Saccharomyces cerevisiae S288C: one gene and its partners. Changing the gene in region 1 together with any one later gene gives a genetic interaction. Each region holds a gene or a part of one and is shown on either strand. Other genes may lie near its edges.

Region 1 (5,323 bases):
GAATATTGGTTTTAGAAACACGTTTCGAATCTTCAGTATGAGTTGACGGAGGTGTGGAATCGGTTGGACTCACAGCTTTTGAAAGGACATTTCTCGGTTGCTCAGGATGTAGTTCGATGTCAGATTGGAAGTCATGGTCAGATTCTATGTTAAGATCATCGGATTGTTGGATCTCATTTGACGCAATGAACGATTGATATGAAGCAGTTAAACGGTTTAAGTCTTCATCGAAAGTGAGTGCGTCGTAATTGAATTGATCTAATCTGGATTCCTTGCCCTGAAGAATAACATAGTTAGTTGTATCTACTGTCTTCTTTAAGGATGGAAGATAGATGATATATCCATAAGAGTTTCGAGACGGATGTAGAGCGTAGCCTGGGATGCCACGAGGATGTATTTTGGAGTTAGGGTTGTGATCATTGACGATAACAGGTTGACCGAAAGGTAACAAAGTACTGATATCAAGTCCTGCCAAGCCAGCATGTTGTCTTGCAGATTTTTTGCTTTTAGGTGAAGCTAGTGAATTTCTCACAATAGTAGAAAATTCGATTGCAGAGAACCATAAATGGTTCGGTAAACCACTACATTGCAGTTGAGTACGGCAGTCATCTAATAAGGTACGGTTGAGCCGTTCAGCGACTCCATGTGCTCGGGAATCCGCTGTGGTTGTATAGCATGGAGTTATACCATTTTTTTCAAGGAATTTATGGAGAGTTCTGTTAGTATACTCAGAACCACGGTCCATTTGTATAACCAAGACACTGGCCTGAAACTGGTTCTTAATAAAAGCTAGTATCGTAGTAAAAACATCGAGGATAGAGTCCTCGCGACGGTCGTGTAATGGATAAACCCAACGGAATTTTGTTGTCTCATCAGTAAATGAGATGAAATAGGATGGTGCACTTTTTGGTAGGTTGTGAACTGGACCAAATATGTCAGTATGTAGGTATTGAAAGGGTTCGTATGAATTTTGGTATTTTAGTCGTGAACCTTTGATATGTCTGTGTTTGGTGCTTTTGCCGATTAAACAATCAGGACATTGATAGTCAATAGCACTAGACCAGTCGACATCTGATTCGTTAAAATACGTGATGGTGTTATTTTTAAGTGAGTATCGAATTGTCTGTGCATTGGCATGCGCAAGCATTCGATGAATGAAAGGATAAGGATATTTGCGTGTACTTTCACTTGTATGGACATTATTGATGGTGGGTACGGAGATATTTGATGGAAGCAAGTACTTTTTAGATACCCAGTAAAAGTCTCCATATTTTACGATAGGTGCAAGTACAGTGCCGTCAGACCGTTCTAAGACGTTTTTGGTAAAGCATGCTGTGATATCTACTGCAGCCAATTCATTCAAACTGAGTAAGTCATAGGCTATGTTAGGAGTGTGCAATACCTTTATTGATGTTTTGGTGTTGTCCTGGAAGTGAAATTGTAGGTCACCAATAGCGTTAATTGGTATATTTCTTTTTTGAGCATCAACTACGTTTATGTCAGGATTAGATGATGCTGAGTGTATGTGATGAGCAGATCTTATAAGGGTTCGTGATGCTCCTGAATCGAGAAGGAGGTGTCCAGGGAGTTCATCATCAGAATGATTAGTATGATTTACTGTAGATTCAGTAAGTTTCTGGCCTAAGATGAAGGTCGTGCTTATTGTTCAATTGAATCGGTTCAGTAGTTGATTTACTGATGGAATCGTTGTCCGTGCTGGGAGAGTTATTAGATGTGGATACATTGTGAGCCCTGGCTGTTTTCGATTTCGAATTATTTGTTTTTTGAGGATTCCGAGCTATAACTTTGGGTTTGGTTGTATTCGTATAGCTGCGAGAATCATTCTTCTCATCACTCGGATTTCTCCTGTAATTAGGTTTGCTGTTTCTCGATCCCTGTTGTTCTTCATAAATAGCATGGATATCTAAGAACAGTTCAGCGACTGTCATATTTAGATGTCGATGACGTGTGTAGCGTAAAAATTTATATTCGCCAGATAGACCTCTCATAATTAATTGGCATGCGACCTTGTTATTGATATGAATGCCATTATTGTTCAGTCTGTCGATAATGTTTGTGACTTTTGTTTCAAATGCATCTGCAGGTGTACTGCCATTATATTGCAAATTTGCCAGGGTCACAATGTCGTTTGCCTCTTGGGTATCAGATTGCATTTTTTCAATACTTTTGGAAAGAATTTTCATGATATCCGTATAATCAACGGATAGGATGTCTTTGACCCAGGTAGGTAGGAATTGAGAGGGAGCAAATATTTGAAAAGTGTTATACAAGAAGGTGAGTTCATCATCAGTGATCTGACGTACGGGTTTTCCGTTTACTGTCGGAATAATACCACCGAGATTCGAGTTTTGTAAAAATTTGATGTATGTTTTAACCCAATTTGGAAAATCATTAGGTGAGGTTAACATTGGTGGTGGTCTGACATATTTTTTAGTGGATGTCATATCAGAGTCCGCTGAGGATGAATCAGTAAATGTATTACCTGACTCAGGTGATGGAGTGCTCAGAGGCGTTCCAACTGATGATGGATACTGCGGAAACTGTGATTGTGGCCCAGGTGGAAAGTACATAGGCGACATTTGATAAGGTGTATACGGAATCATAGATGGGTGTCCGTAAAATGACCAACCAGATGGATTGGCTTGGTTTTGGGTCATCATGCACTGCTGTGGGTACGGCCCATTCTGTGGAGGTGGTACTGAAGCAGGTTGAGGAGAGGCATGATGGGGGTTCTCTGGAACAGCTGATGAAGCAGGTGTTGTTGTCTGTTGAGAGTTAGCCTTAGTGGAAGCCTTATCATATTCTTGAATTTTGGAAGCTGAAACGTCTAACGGATCTTGATTTGTGTGGACTTCCTTAGAAGTAACCGAAGCACAGGCGCTACCATGAGATATATGTGGGTAATTAGATAATTGTTGGGATTCCATTGTTGATAAAGGCTATAATATTAGGTATACAGAATATACTAGAAGTTCTCCTCGAGGATATAGGAATCCTCAAAATGGAATCTATATTTCTACATACTAATATTACGATTATTCCTCATTCCGTTTTATATGTTTATATTCATTGATCCTATTACATTATCAATCCTTGCGTTTCAGCTTCCTCTAACATCGATGACAGCTTCTCATAACTTATGTCATCATCTTAACACCGTATATGATAATATATTGATAATATAACTATTAGTTGATAGACGATAGTGGATTTTTATTCCAACAGAAGGTGATCTAAAGATTGAGAAACAGTCACCAGATTTAGGGGAAGCTGAAATGCAATGATTGATAATGTAATAAGAAGCGAGAGGGAAAGTATAAAAAGGAAGTGATCAATTTGTGAATAATTTGATAACCGTTGGGATTCTATTGTTCGCAAGGGCTTTATTTTATTATGTGTACAGAATATAATAAAATTTCCCCTGAGAGATATACCAATCCTCAAATTGGAATCGATACTCCTATATAATACAATTACAATTATTTCTCCCTCCCTTTCGTATGTTTCATTATCCTAGTACATTATCAATCCTTATATTTCTGCTTCCATTAAATTTTACGACTGTTTCTCAATGTTTAGATCATCTTCTTACACTGTATATGATAATGTACGAGTGGCATGAATACTACTGAACAGATGATATTTTATAGCTTCATTCCAACAGAAAGAACATAAAGTAATATCGTTACGTAAAACTATCGATTCCCTTTTGACGATTCCTACATCCTCGAGAAGAAGTTCTAGTATATTCTGTGTACCTAATATTGTAGGCTCTAACAACAATGGAATCCCAACAATTAATCATCTTGATTATTTTATTCCCCGCGTTTTAGAGCATCAATCTTGCCAGCTTATAGCTGGTCATTGTCGACGATAATCTCAAGCACAGGGCTAAAAAATAAATTGAAACGGACAGGAATTGAACCTGCAACCCTTCGATTGCAATCTTATTCCGTGGAATTTCCAAGATTTAATTGGAGTCGAAAGCTCTACCATTGAGCCACCGCTTCAACTTTTATTGTTTATATTGACACCTGTATAACAATATAACCACAATAAAAGGTTCATTCAAAGCTCCGGCTAGCATTCGGCGATTAATGAAGAAAGTTAAACCGTGATTTATTACTTCTTGCTCGTTTTTTCCATCATAAGTTCGCACAGAGCAGTATATATAGTGATTTGCAAATATGAATAGCGGTGGTAGTGATAGTTTCGATTATCTTCTTCAATTAACAAAAGCTTTAAGTGCAGAGTGTCGGGCTAACAGACAAGAGACCGATCGAATAGAACTATTGTTAAAGCGCCTTGCCAAACAGTCAGGAATATCTTATGATAATTTGAGCAAAAACATAATTCCAGATTCATGGAAAGATAATGCATCTCAAAAAGCATCTCCCCCCACTGAGGCACAGAAGCTTATCAGCGAAAATTTTAAACTCATATACGAGATTGAAAAACAAGAGTACTTCAATACAAAGGCTGTTGCGCTAATTAACAACATAAATGAGCATTTCTCATATATTAAAAATTTTATCGACGAACAGAATGCAATAAGAGAACGAAATATTGCCACATTTTCATCAGAGAAGCTTGATGAAAGGAACAAAAGTCTTCAACAAAATTACGAGTCATTGAAGACAGAAAATGAAGAAACAAAAAAAAAATTGCATTCAATTATCAAACAGTTTGAAAAACTTTTGAAGGAAGTGGATTGGGATCGTATATCTAAAGATTCCAGAGATTACAGCCGCTTTAAAAAACAGTTGGAATACCTGCAAGACACGTACCAGGTACTGAAATAGCCTACGATGGATCGAACAAAAGTGTAAGCAGACGTGAAATAGCAAACCTTTGAATGCATTTATATATTTTAATATACTTATAACAACGGATAAATGTTTAGATCCCTTTTGAAAAAAAAAAAAAATTAGGATGAACCGAAAAAAATCATACTCGTATTCCTCTATCGTCTTCACTGGCATTATTGTGTAAAGAATTATTACCAAATAACCACCTGAACCACCCCACAGTATCATTCTTTAAATCTTTAAAATAACGGCGGCTCAGCATCTTTAAACAAAGAGCTTCATAGGTGGGGTTGTTAGTGGTCATCAAATCATTTACGCATCTATCATATTCGTCTTTATCACTCTTGGGATCTATTGCAGAGCATATTCCAGTTTTACCCTGTCCCTGAAGAGAGCTTTTCAACCCAATTAATTTGGAATCAAACTGAGCAACACTACTTTCAATATCTCGTACACGAACTTCCAATATCCTCATATCATATTTCAACCTAGAT
Region 2 (7,185 bases), on another chromosome or scaffold:
AGTATAACCTCATATATTTCCGTTTCTAATAATCAATGTCCTACAAAAAGTTTGTGTACTTTATTAACCTTTTCTTTCTACTAGGGGCTACATTGTTGACTTTTTTTCTGATACTAGCAGGTGGCAGGACCACAGGAGTGTTGAAGAATTTTTATTGGTTTCAGGCATCCACTTCGGGCTTTAACTCGGCGCCCTCCGTAACCAGATGGTACAATTATAACTGGTGCGGCTGGGAAAGCCGCGGAATAGCAGTCAACTGCTCTTCTAAGATGGCAGCTCAGCCGTTTTCACCAAGGGACAACTTTGGCAGTTCCCCCCTCATGCCCTCAACTTTTTTAAACAACAGAAATGCCTACTATTATCTTTCAAGAGTGGGCTGGGCAATGCTTCTAATCGGGCTTTTCTTTTTGTTAATCACGTTAGTTTCGGTTATTGCCAGTTTAATCAGATACAATAGACGTACCGCCGCTCTGGCAACTGCAATGAGCTGGATCACGCTTTTCTTCATAACCCTATCCGCTTGTCTGTACACAGGATGTTACGCTAAGGCAGTAAAGGCGTTTCACCATGAGAATCGTGATGCTAGACTAGGTCCCAAGAATTTTGGGCTTATTTGGACCACAGTATTTTTGTTAATTGTAAACGCCATTTGCTGTACTATCATGGTGGCTACTCATAAAAGAAACGAGTACATCTATGACCGCAGTTTCGCTTCTACCAAGACAGTGGACTCACAAACTCCAACTCCAGTTCCAACAAATGGAGGAATACCTTCCTCGGTGCCTGTAACTGAGGTCCAACAATCTCAATCCCACCAGAATCATAGGTTCTTTAAGAAATTGAGAACGAAAAAGAGAACTGTGACTAGCGCAGGCGATGAACCAGACCGGGTTCAAGAGGAACGCGTCTATACTGAACAGAATGTTCCTGTTGTATCATAGGGTGCAAAGGAGGCTTTTTTTTCCCTTATTATTAAAGCTAGGATTACAAATAATAACAAACCTAATTGCAGCGATTAGCCTTCTCCTATTCTCTGTTGATACCAATTTTATTTATTACTAATATTTTGCACCGATATTCCACTAATCTTTTATGTTTCCCTAAATATAATATCTTTAATTCTCAACCTCTAATAATACTAATACTATACGTCAAACAATGTAATGATACCATCTAATAAAAAGAAATCGTATTTTAACTTCCTTTTAATGTATCATACACATCTTACTAACTCTTTTTCTTTTCTTTTCACTATTTCGACAGCAATGAATTAGACACAAACCAAGAGTCTTCTGCTACACAGCACGGCTTCGGCTACCATATTGACAAATCTTATGACAGGATGCTGGGTTTGGGCCAATCTGCTCAAGCATATGCAAGTGATGATGCTCTCAATATGAACCAGGCAAAGGATAAAACGTACAGCGTTCCAGGGTGTGGCAGGGCAAGCGACCTCAAATATCCTCATCGTGACGGACACTCTTCGTCTCACGAACAGCGCTCTGGAATTTTACCAACTGAATGCCCAGGCCCTACTTTAAACACCGGTGCCGGTAGCATCGGTATCCCGGGATGTGGCAAAGTCACAAATAGAGTGGTCAGTGACTATAACAAAAACGCTAGGTCTACGCTAGCCAATTTTGATAGTAGTAAAATGACCGAGGCAAGAATGAACAGCAAGAACGTGCCGATTGGTTGTCAAGACACCTCTGATCCGCACTTCAATGGGCCTATCGACCAACATGTTCCCGGTGCAGGTTCACCTCAAAGTCAACCTCATCACATCGACGCGTGGAACAGCGTTTCTTCTCGCCGTGCCGATAATAACAACCAAGACATGATGGACCCCCAAACGGCTTCCTCAGACAGGTACAATGAGAAAATGATGAGAGAAGAAAATAGCGGCGTCTCTGCTTCTTCTTACACCACTAAAGTGCAGGGATATCCCGCAAGTATTCCATCATTCAATCAGGAAACTGAGGAAAAGGAAACCTACGCCTACGGTGTGGGTGATCGGCACAATGTCCCAAGAAACCAAATTATGGATGAGACTAATCCTTCGGCTAACGTTCTAAACGCTACTGATCATAGTATTTCGCACCCTGAGAATAAGGTCTTGCATAAGTAGTTTTTGTTTTTCCTACAGTTTTTATTTATAACCAACCTTATACTTTTATATCCTTGTCTACATATTATTGTCATAACGAATTTTTTATTGGTTAAATGCAGCTATTGCGTTCTCTTTATTGCATAAATATATTCTATTACAATATGGGAGGGCATTATCAGCCTCCATGTGCTTGCGTGCTGTCAAAGAAGGAGTGCGGGGATGACAATATGAATAGCCGCCGAAATTATGCCCGGCTGCAGTTGACCGTATAAATAACAGTGCTTCAATGAAAGGACACAAAAAGCAAGATCGTCCCATTTTCTACCTTAATCAGTATAGTAAAAATCAAAAACATAATATATTACTGTTATGATGAATAAAGTAGATCAAATCATCGGTTACAAAAAGTACGAAGTGAAACTACCAAAAGATCGACAAGTAAAGAAAAATAAATCAAAAGGTGGAAATGTTGATCAAATAGATACTAAGAGGGAAAAGGATAAAATGAGAGCTTTTGGTGAAGAAAGGAAAAAGTTCTTAGATAAAATGGCTAAAAACAAAAAAAAAAATACAAGTAGAAAAGATAGAGAGAAGCCAAAAGAAGTAGAAAAAGAAAACTACAAAAGAGAAGACAAAAGGCTAAAAGAACAGAAAAAATTATCACTGGCAAAAGAATTTCGTTTCAAAGAACCGAATTCAGAAGCCATTAATCAGAACACAGCAGCTGAAAATGGTAAACCTAAACCACAGACTGGACTAGATTTTGACATAGACCATCAAACCGTGTCCAAGATCATGATAGATCAGGCTATTCAAACATCTAGTCCTCTTAATGTCCAACTCACGGAACTTTTCAATGATAACGTCCTCGACGTCTCGAAAGATAGTCAGTTTGTCCTTCAAGACATGGAGTTCACCTCCTGGGAACGACGCTGGTCAAACTGCAGCACGACCAGTAATGCGACTACGGTCTCATCAGTTCCTGATCCCAAATATAATATCAACTACAACGACATAACCTCCTTCAATTCAGTAGCGCTAATTACCGAAGATCTTAACATATCTGCATCATCTAATGGTCTGCATGAGAGAGGTAAAAAGCTACTGCAGCAAGAGATGGAATACTCAAACAAGGTCAAAAATGTCACCATCGGGCTTGAAAGATTGTGTATGGATGAAAAACCAGTCCCAGATGCAGGAATAACCATGCAACAAGCGTCGCGCTGGTCAGAATTCCCCACTTGTTGCGATCAAGCTGCTATTTAGCTTTTCTAATTTAAAAAATTTATAAACTTCTTATAGTATTTCATCTTTATATCAAATACTATTAGCAAAATAAAAGGAAAGGAAAGGGAAAGGAACTTCTTTAGACTGCTTCGCACTGATTCTATCGCCATCCTTCTTCATGTTCTCAACTATTGGATATCTGCTCTATTTAGAACAATCGTTATTGTTACCCGCGTTAAATGGGGTAACTGATTGCTGCTTTTTTTTCTCGTTGTTTTGGACCTTTTCGGACATGAGAGGTCAAAAGAAAAAACAAACACGACCAAGTAAGCCGGAATAAACAAGTATAACCACCTGATTGAATTGCCTTCTTTAAACAAGCACAGACCTCCAAAAAGAAAAGGCTTTTGAAACGCTGCTCACGCACAGTTGTTTATTCCGTCCACATATTTTACGTGTCAGTTTCCTTTCTGTCTTCTCTTTATTCAATCAATTAGCATTAAAGAGAAAATAAGTCGTGTACTTTGAAAACCTTCTGTTCCTGTTTTCTTCCCGTATTTTTCATTTGCTTCACCAGCTTTTTCTCAACTGATCATATCATTTCAAGTTAAAAGTCTTTGTCATCACTTTTCTGTGAGTTGCAAATATTTGTAAGCGTCACTTACCTAGAGCAGCCTTTATCGATCAATATTTCAGAGGGAAAAACCTGTATCTCTTAGCATGCAAAGTTCAGTTTATTTTGACCAAACAGGGTCATTTGCGTCCAGTAGCGACAACGTTGTGTCTAGTACCACCAACACACACAACATTTCTCCCAGTCATCGTTCCAGTTTGAATCTGAACACTACTTCTCATCCCCACGAAGCGTCGGGTAGAGGAAGCGCAAGTGGGGAGTTGTATTTGAATGACACAAACTCACCCTTAGCGATATCTTCTATGCTAAACACACTTGCCCTTGGAAGTATGCCCCAAGACATTGCAAGCAGCAACATTAGCAATCACGATAACAACATTAAGGGGAGCTACAGCCTAAAATTGTCAAATGTAGCCAAGGATATTACTCTCAGAGAATGCTATGCAATCTTCGCTCTTGCTGAAGGTGTGAAAAGTATAGAATTACAGAAAAAAAACTCTTCATCAAGCATCACTTCTGCCTCATTAGAAGACGAGAATGATATTTTTATCATTGCCAGATTTGAGTTATTGAATCTAGCTATTAATTATGCCGTTATTTTGAATTCGAAAAATGAACTCTTTGGACCCAGTTTTCCCAATAAAACAACCGTTGAAATAATAGATGACACAACAAAAAACTTGGTTTCATTCCCATCATCTGCCATTTTCAATGACACCTCAAGATTGAATAAATCGAACTCGGGAATGAAAAGGCCAAGTCTGTTATCACAAAGATCCAGGTTTTCATTCAGCGATCCATTTTCCAATGATTCTCCTTTAAGCCAACAGCAATCTCAACAGCAGCAGCAACAGCCACAACAGCCACAACAACACTCTACGCAAAAACATTCACCACAACAATGTAATCAACAACAAGTGAATTCTTCAATACCGTTATCTTCTCAAGGCCAGGTTATTGGGTTACATTCTAACCATTCACATCAAGATTTGTCTGTGGAATCAACAATTCAAACATCTGATATTGGCAAATCTTTCCTTTTGAGAGATAACACTGAAATTAATGAAAAGATATGGGGCACAAGCGGTATACCTTCCAGCATCAACGGTTACATGAGCACTCCCCAACCTTCTACGCCAACTTTAGAATGGGGAAATACTTCTGCATCCCAACATGGTTCTTCGTTCTTTTTACCCTCTGCAGCATCGACAGCCATTGCACCTACGAATAGCAACACCAGTGCCAATGCAAACGCCAGCTCCAACAATGGAGCCAGCAATAATGGTGCTAACCAGGCACTCTCTGCCAGCTCGCAACAACCAATGATGCAAATTGGTAACACGATTAACACTTCCCTAACCTCTTCAAATTCATTGCCTCCATACGGTTTAATGTCTTCTCAATCGCAGCACATTTCAAATATGGTAAACACCTCTGATATGAACATTACACCTCAAAAACAGAACAGATTTATGCAACAACCCCAACCAGAGCATATGTATCCTGTGAATCAAAGTAACACTCCTCAAAAAGTACCGCCCGCAAGATTAAGTTCAAGTAGAAATTCACACAAGAATAACTCTACTACCTCATTATCCTCAAATATTACTGGATCTGCCTCGATTTCTCAGGCTGATTTGTCACTACTAGCCAGAATTCCACCTCCTGCCAACCCTGCTGATCAAAATCCACCTTGTAATACCCTTTATGTAGGGAATTTACCCTCCGACGCTACTGAGCAAGAACTAAGACAGCTATTTTCTGGTCAAGAAGGCTTCAGAAGACTATCATTCAGGAATAAGAATACCACATCTAATGGTCATAGTCACGGACCGATGTGCTTCGTTGAATTCGATGATGTCAGTTTTGCAACCAGAGCGTTAGCTGAATTGTATGGTAGACAGTTACCTCGCTCCACTGTGAGCAGTAAGGGAGGTATCAGATTAAGCTTTTCAAAAAACCCACTGGGTGTTAGGGGCCCAAACAGCAGAAGAGGAGGCAGTGGTAACCCAAATCCTAATGTAAATATGCTTTCCAGTTACAATTCTAATGTTGGTCATATAAAAAACTAAAAAAATGGTTCCGCAAAAACCTGATTTCCTTGCATGTATCACATTATATGCATTGCTTTTCATCTTTCCCCCACTATAATAAGAATAATATTTTCTGTCGCATTTTTTCTTTTTCTTTTATTATTTGTTATAATAATATTTTCTAAACCGACTAATAATAAGAATAACATCGATAATACTTTATCTCTTCAATTACGTTAAATTATCTTTTTACTATTACATTACAACGTGCATATAACAGAAATTTTTTCTTTTTCTGTCTAACATTTGAATTGTACTATGAATTAAACCCGCCATCTTTTTTCTTAACTACCATTTTGCGAACTCCTATACCGCTTCTGCAACAACAAGAACTTTTATTTTCAATTTTAATGTGCCATTCATTCCATTTTGCTTGCGCTAATGTGAATAAGATTGAGAGGGAAAAGTCTCACTATCGAATATCGCTCTTTAGTGTGATTATTGTCATCAAAGCACCAAGTGCTTAGGTGAGGTCATATCCGACAAATGTTTTGAAGAGAGAATATCTTTTTTTTATGCTGCCAACTTTTATTCTTTCCTTGTTTAAAAAACTCTGCCTTTGGATATTCTCCCACTATATATATGTATTAGCCTTACTTTTATTCCAGAACTCATTTTTATAGAAGTATATATCGGTATCGACTTCAATGTAATATTTTCAACCCTATGCTACAAGAGCAGATTAAAAAAATATGGGCTACCAGTGGCAAGAACATATTTGATATTTCGAAGTTCTACTTTGTTTATGACCGAACTGATCAATTTTATGAATGTCTTTCAATGGAATCTCAATACGGGTAATAACGTCATATTTCTTATTTTTCTTGGACAATTTGTCCAAAATAAAATTTTCACGACTTTTCTCCTTCAAGTACCGCGACTTCTGCGATAGTTGTCCGTTAGACATAATAATCATTAACGCATCCATAAGGTGCTTGCGGTCTGTATTTGACTTTCTTCACATTCTTACGCCTAGACTGAATGGGAAAACAACCAAGAAACCAAAAAGGAACCTGAGAACACAAAGAGTATTTGACGAAAAGTTACACTCACATAATGCATCACCAAACTAAGTTAGATGTATTCATAATCAGAGCTTATAATTTACTGTCTAACGAGTC
Region 3 (7,200 bases), on another chromosome or scaffold:
GTCCTTATAAAGAACCTGAGCACAGCATATATAAACTTTCCATGTCGCCAGAAGGTAAATTTCAATTAAACATTCAACAAAAAGATATTGAAAGCGGATTTGATGATACCAGTATGATGGAAGATGAAAATGATAAGGATTTTATTACATGGAAAAATGAGCAAGTTTCGAAATTGAATGGATTCTCCTTTACAGATATTTGAATTTCTTAAAAGCGCATTCATTTAACCCTCTGATCTCTTATTTATTTTTTTTGTGGTTTTTTTTTTCACATCACTTTCTAGCCTTCGCTACATTGTCTCTTTCTTTCCTTCTTTTATTCTATCATTCTCCCTTTCCTTTTTCCATTGCACCGTGACTCTGGATTAATATGGACATAATAAAATTTGTAATATTCAATATAATCATGTAAGCATTCCAAGTAAATACGCAGGTTGGCTAGTCTAAATCGAAAATGTAACATTACTACCATACTATATATCTACATATTGTAATTGTGTAGGTATATACTAATCATTTACCAATGTTTAGGTTCCATGCCTTCTGGTGGTGAAGTTTTAACCGTTCCCTTAGATACGTCTTCCCAGTCTGTACTCAATGCAGTACCATTACTTTCTATAAAGGATTTCATCATAGCCCTTTTGGTATCTGGATCCGCTCCAGCGTAAAGCTTTTGAAAGAAACTATCAGCCGATCCCGCTTCTTCATCAGCTTCTTCATCAATGTCAAGTTTAGACCAATCTATTTTTTTTTTAGAGGACGATGGATAAGACAATCTCTCTTTTGATGCCGTTTCTGCTGATAATAAGCGGGTTGCAGAATCAGAATTTTTACCCTCATCTGATAACCTTGAGGATTCCGTTAAAATATCTTCTTCCAACTTCTTCCATTGCGTGCTATCAATTTTGCTCAAGGTAATTTCCAGCTTTTTTGGGAAAATTTTTAATGACACTGCTTTTGGATCCACCTCATGCGAAAGCTTAGCGTTGTATTGAAATTCAGATCCAGATTTCGGTACTTGGTACGATATCGATAAAGTTCTTCTATCGTTTGGAGAAATATATATATTGACTTGTTCCTTAGACTCAGGAAGATTAACAGTAAATAATGATATAGTGACAGAGGTGCTGGATTGATACCAATCGATTTTAAATTTAGGGGATTCTTGAGGAGCGGTTTCAATTTTGAGAGGTGAAATGGGACTATGAGAAGAATTATTATCTCCTCTGTTTTCAATACTTTCCACTGGTTTAATTGTATGCTTATTAGTTGAATCCTTCTGCTTTTTATTTTTTTTATTCAATTTTGTCTCCAGACGATCTTCCCATAAAGGCAAAGTGTCATCAACGTAACCAAGATTCTTGGCTTTTTTAAAATAAGATTGGGCCAGTTCATAATCTTTGATATTGAAGAAATGAACAAAATAACGAAAGTTAACAAGACCAATCTTCGATCTATCGCCCCTACCCTCAGCTGTCATTAGAGCCTTGTCAAGAAGTTCCTTTGCGTTTTCCATAGTTGCATCGCTGTGCCAATCAGAAAACCCAAAGTATAGCTTTTCAAGACATGCTGCCTTAAAAATGAGAGCCGTTAAATTTGTGGGTGAGCCTTTGAGAATTTCATCATAAAGATGGAGGGCCTTCAGTGGTTCCTTCTCATCATACAAAGCTTTGTAGGCAGTTTTTAAATCTTTTTCAACAGGCATTTCTTTTTCGTTTCCTTAAAACAACTACCTCTTTAACCTTAAAAGACTTCTGCCATTACTTTGTCATAGTGCTTTCGTTCAATTATTAGCGTTCAAAGATATATCGCATATGATCAACTCATCTTGAGACCTTACACCCTAAAGTGCTTATATTGGCTTCGTTTATAGTGATCAAAGTCATCAATATAGTGCTCGTCAGTGTAAGACTGAGAAGATCATTCTTAAAAGAATTAGCAGATGATGCATAAGCACTATGGCGGTATTATCTACTATCATTTCTCTTGTATCTGTGCTGAGCCTGGTTCTATTGAAGAAGAATTCAAAATTTGAATGTCTCAATAGAAAAACCCGGACATTCCATAATGCAAGATCAAAATTTTTCGATGAGCTTTGTTTTGCATTGGCAAATTTTTACCTGCTAAGAAGAAGTCTACATGGAGAAACAGCACCATTATCTCAAGTATGTTCTTAACATAGAGGTCGTTCAGTCAGCGCTAGATAAATCTCATCGGCGATCATAGTTCAGTATTTTTCTAAAGTTTCTTTAAAGGAGCATAATATGACCGAAAACCAAACCGCACATGTAAGGGCGTTGATATTGGATGCCACCCCATTAATTACGCAGTCCTACACACATTACCAGAATTATGCACAGTCTTTTTATACTACTCCCACAGTTTTTCAAGAAATTAAGGATGCTCAAGCAAGGAAAAACCTTGAAATTTGGCAGAGCCTCGGAACTTTGAAATTAGTACATCCAAGTGAAAACTCGATAGCCAAAGTAAGTACGTTCGCCAAATTGACCGGTGACTACTCCGTACTGAGTGCCAATGATTTGCATATTCTTGCTTTGACATACGAGTTAGAAATTAAACTAAATAATGGCGATTGGAGACTGAGGAAAAAACCAGGTGATGCATTAGATGCGTCCAAGGCTGACGTTGGTACGGACGGCAAACAGAAGCTCACAGAAGATAATAAAAAGGAGGAGGACTCTGAAAGTGTTCCAAAAAAAAAGAACAAGAGAAGAGGTGGAAAAAAGCAAAAGGCAAAAAGAGAAGCAAGAGAAGCAAGAGAAGCTGAAAATGCAAACCTTGAGCTAGAGAGTAAAGCTGAGGAACATGTTGAGGAGGCTGGATCCAAAGAGCAGATATGTAATGATGAAAATATAAAGGAATCTTCCGATTTAAATGAAGTATTCGAGGATGCTGATGATGATGGTGATTGGATTACCCCCGAGAACTTAACAGAAGCAATTATTAAGGATAGTGGTGAAGATACCACTGGTTCATTGGGTGTAGAAGCGTCCGAAGAGGATCGCCATGTCGCATTGAATCGACCAGAGAATCAGGTGGCATTGGCGACTGGCGATTTTGCCGTCCAAAATGTAGCGTTGCAGATGAATCTAAATCTAATGAATTTCATGTCAGGTCTGAAAATCAAGCGAATCCGTAATTATATGCTAAGATGCCACGCCTGTTTCAAAATATTTCCTCTACCAAAAGACGGCAAGCCAAAGCACTTCTGTGCCTCATGCGGTGGACAGGGTACCTTATTAAGATGCGCAGTTTCCGTTGACTCACGCACGGGGAACGTTACACCGCACTTGAAGTCGAACTTCCAATGGAACAATAGAGGAAACAGATATTCTGTAGCCAGCCCCTTATCTAAGAACTCCCAAAAAAGGTACGGCAAAAAGGGACACGTACATTCTAAACCACAGGAAAATGTGATTCTCAGAGAAGATCAAAAGGAGTACGAAAAGGTGATAAAGCAAGAAGAATGGACAAGAAGACACAACGAGAAGATTCTAAACAATTGGATTGGTGGCGGTTCTGCGGATAACTATATTTCTCCATTTGCAATTACTGGGTTGAAGCAGCATAACGTCCGCATTGGTAAGGGAAGGTACGTCAACAGTTCCAAAAGGAGAAGTTAGTGTTTTTCATAAATATCTGTGTAGTGTGTACTAGTTGGCAGCTGCCCTTTTTCTTTTTCTTTTTTTTTTTTTTTTTTTTTTTTTTTTCACGTGGTTTTTCTATGACGTTTTCCAAAACAAGCGTGTCATGTGAGCTTTTTTGCCCTTTAACTTTCTGGTTGGAGAGTCCAAAAGACCGAAAAGGTAAGAAAACGTTTTATTGCTCAGTATGCCCTCCCCTTATGAGATGAATGGTGTTACAGCACTTTGAAGAGGGCTCGTTTTGAGGACTTTTTGATCAGGATTAATACTAGATTGCCAAAAAAAGGATAGCCTTTTATAAGATTACTTTAGTTCAAAGAAGAGACCAGAAAGAGGAATACTGGCCATAATTATAGTGCAGAGACGCAATGACAAACAAATCTAGCCTGAAGAACAATAGGAAAGGGGTTGCTTCGAATACTCTCTCTGGAGCTGAGCAGGCCAATATAGGTTCATCGGCAATGCCTGACACAAATTCTACGGGACCATTTTCTTCCGTTTCTAGTCTGGACACTCCTGTAGTAAGGAAATCAACTAGTCCCACTGGTTCACAAACTAAGTCAATCATGAATGCTAGCGGAACTTCTGGGGCAGTTGTAAGTAATACACCAGAGCCAGGGTTAAAAAGGATACCAACTGTTACATTCAGCGATCCAAAGTTGGGTAGTCTCAGGTCGGATGTGGAGCAAACTCCACCTAACCAGGTGGCCAGACAGTCCAGCGAAAAGAAAGCAACGTCTGTACACATCGCAGCGGAGGGTGCAAATCAAGGAAGAAACTTGAAAGACATAAATACAAAAGTACCAAAAGATGGCGAGGCTTCTGCTTCTTCTTTTTCGACTCCAACCTCTATTCTCTCCAATGCTGATATGGGGAATAACATATCCAGCCTGCTGGCTAAAAAGCTAAGTTTCACCGGTGGAACAGATTCTATTTTAAACTCTGACAATAGTTCCGATAGCCCCAGAAAGGAGCACCCACATTTCTACGTGGAAGATCCTTTACACACCCCATCAGTTAGATCAAGGTCTAACAGTACTAGTCCTCGCCCCTCTGTGGTAGTGAATACATTTAACCCCATCAACATTGAACGAGAGGGCTCCATATCAAAGACTGGAGAGCCCACATTGTTGGAGTCTGTCTTGGAAGAAGCAATGTCTCCCAATGCAGTCTCAAATCCCTTGAAGAGAGAAAATATTATGACCAATATGGATCCAAGGCTTCCCCAAGATGACGGCAAGCTACACGTTCTTTTTGGGGCAACAGGTTCTTTGTCTGTTTTCAAACTCAAGCACATGATCAGAAAATTAGAAGAAATTTACGGAAGGGACAAAATATGCATACAAGTTATACTAACTAACTCAGCAACCAAATTTTTTGCAATGAAGTATATGAGGAAAAATAAGAAACAACACAATAGTATCGATACTTCTTTCAACAGCACCAATTCTAATGCTGGCAATATAACTGGTAACAAGAAAAAAGTAGCCTCTCTTGAAAAATTTAGCATTCAGAAGACGTCTTCAAACTCAGCGGCTTCTCAGACAAATAATAAACAGGAGGAAGAAAAACAAATGGCCTCTACTACTGGATTTCCTTCGACACTTGGTGGTAGTCGTACGTACAGCAACTCTTCAAACGTTGTATCGCAACATCCTCAAATTGAACTGCCAGCACATATACAATTTTGGACAGACCAAGACGAGTGGGATGTATGGCGACAACGAACTGATCCTGTATTACACATAGAACTACGTCGTTGGGCAGATATACTAGTTGTCGCACCATTAACCGCAAACACGTTGGCCAAGATTGCCCTTGGTTTATGTGACAACCTTTTGACAAGTGTAATAAGGGCATGGAATCCAACGTTTCCCATATTCCTAGCGCCTTCAATGGGTAGCGGTACGTTCAATTCCATAATGACTAAAAAACATTTTCGAATTATTCAAGAAGAGATGCCTTGGGTAACTGTATTTAAACCCTCAGAAAAAGTCATGGGCATAAACGGTGACATCGGGTTAAGTGGGATGATGGATGCAAATGAGATTGTTGGCAAGATAGTCGTCAAACTAGGTGGTTATCCCGATGTTTCTGCGGGAAAGGAAGAAGAAGAGGATGAAGATAACGATGAGGAGGATGATAATAAGAAGAACGATACTGGTGGTAAAGATGAAGATAATGACGACGACGACGATGACGATGATGATGATGACGATGATGACGACGACGACGACGACGACGACGACGACGACGACGACGATGATGATGATGACGACGATGATGACGACGATGATGACGACGACGACGACGACGATGAAGATGACGAAGACGAAGATGAAGACGATGAAGGAAAAAAGAAAGAAGATAAAGGAGGGCTACAGCGATCTTAAATAGGACTAATTTCATTATTGTAAAACTTTTGAACTATATATATCTTTACATAGAATAAATTTGCATTAATCACTGATAACCAGAAGAGAAGGCTAAAAATAGGCAAGTAGGACACTTAACTCATTTTCCAAAGGGAGTTTTATGTCTCATAGTTAGCGCTTACGATGCTGCGGAGGTGCGTCGTCACTCTATCGGATGTTCATTCTGAGGGAAAGGGAGTGGTTCAAATCCGATTTAACCTTGCCAGCTTATCGCAAAGCGGGTGAGATCAAATGCTCCACAGCTCTGCGGTTCGTTTCACCTTTCTGTTTTCTGCGAGCTTCGGCCCTGTCAGGGAAAAAAAGAAAGAAGGGGGCGGTGGCAAAGACTGCATCGGCCCAGAAGCAAAGAAGATATAAAAGGGAAATACTTGCCACCGAAGTCTTAGACTTTGCATAAGAGATATTCTCGCCTTTCCCGCTTGAAGAGTTCCTGACTCTATCATACATCTTGGATAAAAGGATCAAGCAGCCTATCCGCTAAACCGCTATTTATTCTGCTTTACTGATTCATTTACATCAAGTGAAGCACAAAACTATCAAAATCACCAAAAGAATAGAAACTAAAAATGTCTGATATAAACGAAATCGAAATTCCATCCAGAAAGGATGAAATTAGACAAGTTACTCCCAAGGATCCCATGCATGAGATCGAGGATAAAAGCACATACCACGCTAAGATAAAGAAATCAGATTCCGGGACCGTCCTGGGTGCTATACCGTTGAATTCAAGGTCTTCTAGTAACTCTAGCGTGACATCGACGGGTCAGAGCAGTAGGCGGGTGACTAAGAAAACGACCAAGAAGAAAAAGAAGAATGCTTGTTATTTCGATACCTGTTCAAGTGCGGCTTCGAAATTCATCGGTGACTGTAATTTTTGCAAAGGTCACTTTTGCTCGAAACACAGATTAATGGAAAACCATGCTTGTAATGGCTTAACGAGCTGCAAAGAACAGCTACATCAAAGAAACGCTGATAAGCTAGAAGCTGAACAAACTAAGGCTCCAAAGATACAAATTTAAACACCTATCATGGTTAAATCATACACACATCTAATTCACTGGGAACTGCATTGTAACGTCTAATCGGCATTGATGTTACAC

Evidence for each region.
Region 2: mutations in FAR3 (region 1) and WHI3 together harm fitness more than expected from each alone (negative genetic interaction), as found in Saccharomyces cerevisiae (2 studies listed by BioGRID).
Region 3: mutations in FAR3 (region 1) and VHS3 together harm fitness more than expected from each alone (negative genetic interaction), as found in Saccharomyces cerevisiae (2 studies listed by BioGRID).

The regions. Positions count from the first base shown.
Region 1 is NC_001145.3:375,378-380,700, forward strand, and holds FAR3 (Far3p), read left to right. Parts: upstream 1-4,208; coding exon 4,209-4,823; downstream 4,824-5,323. Other genes in the region: YMR051C (gag protein), read right to left, coding at 1,626-2,948; STB2 (Stb2p), read right to left, coding at 4,969-5,323. UniProt on the Saccharomyces cerevisiae protein: Participates in the control of the reentry into the cell cycle following pheromone treatment.
Region 2 is NC_001146.8:266,466-273,650, reverse strand, and holds WHI3 (mRNA-binding protein WHI3), read left to right. Parts: upstream 1-4,057; coding exon 4,058-6,043; downstream 6,044-7,185. Other genes in the region: YNL194C (uncharacterized protein), read left to right, coding at 36-941; YNL195C (uncharacterized protein), read left to right, coding at 1,343-2,128; SLZ1 (Slz1p), read left to right, coding at 2,480-3,376; GCR2 (Gcr2p), read left to right, coding at 7,121-7,185. UniProt on the Saccharomyces cerevisiae protein: Involved in size control and cell cycle.
Region 3 is NC_001147.6:426,691-433,890, reverse strand, and holds VHS3 (phosphopantothenoylcysteine decarboxylase complex subunit VHS3), read left to right. Parts: upstream 1-4,033; coding exon 4,034-6,058; downstream 6,059-7,200. Other genes in the region: ASE1 (Ase1p), read left to right, coding at 1-203; co-chaperone SGT1, read right to left, coding at 518-1,705; NOB1 (rRNA-binding endoribonuclease), read left to right, coding at 2,265-3,644; TMC1 (Tmc1p), read left to right, coding at 6,667-7,119. UniProt on the Saccharomyces cerevisiae protein: Component of the phosphopantothenoylcysteine decarboxylase (PPCDC) involved in the coenzyme A synthesis. Acts as an inhibitory subunit of protein phosphatase PPZ1, which is involved in many cellular processes such as G1-S transition or salt tolerance.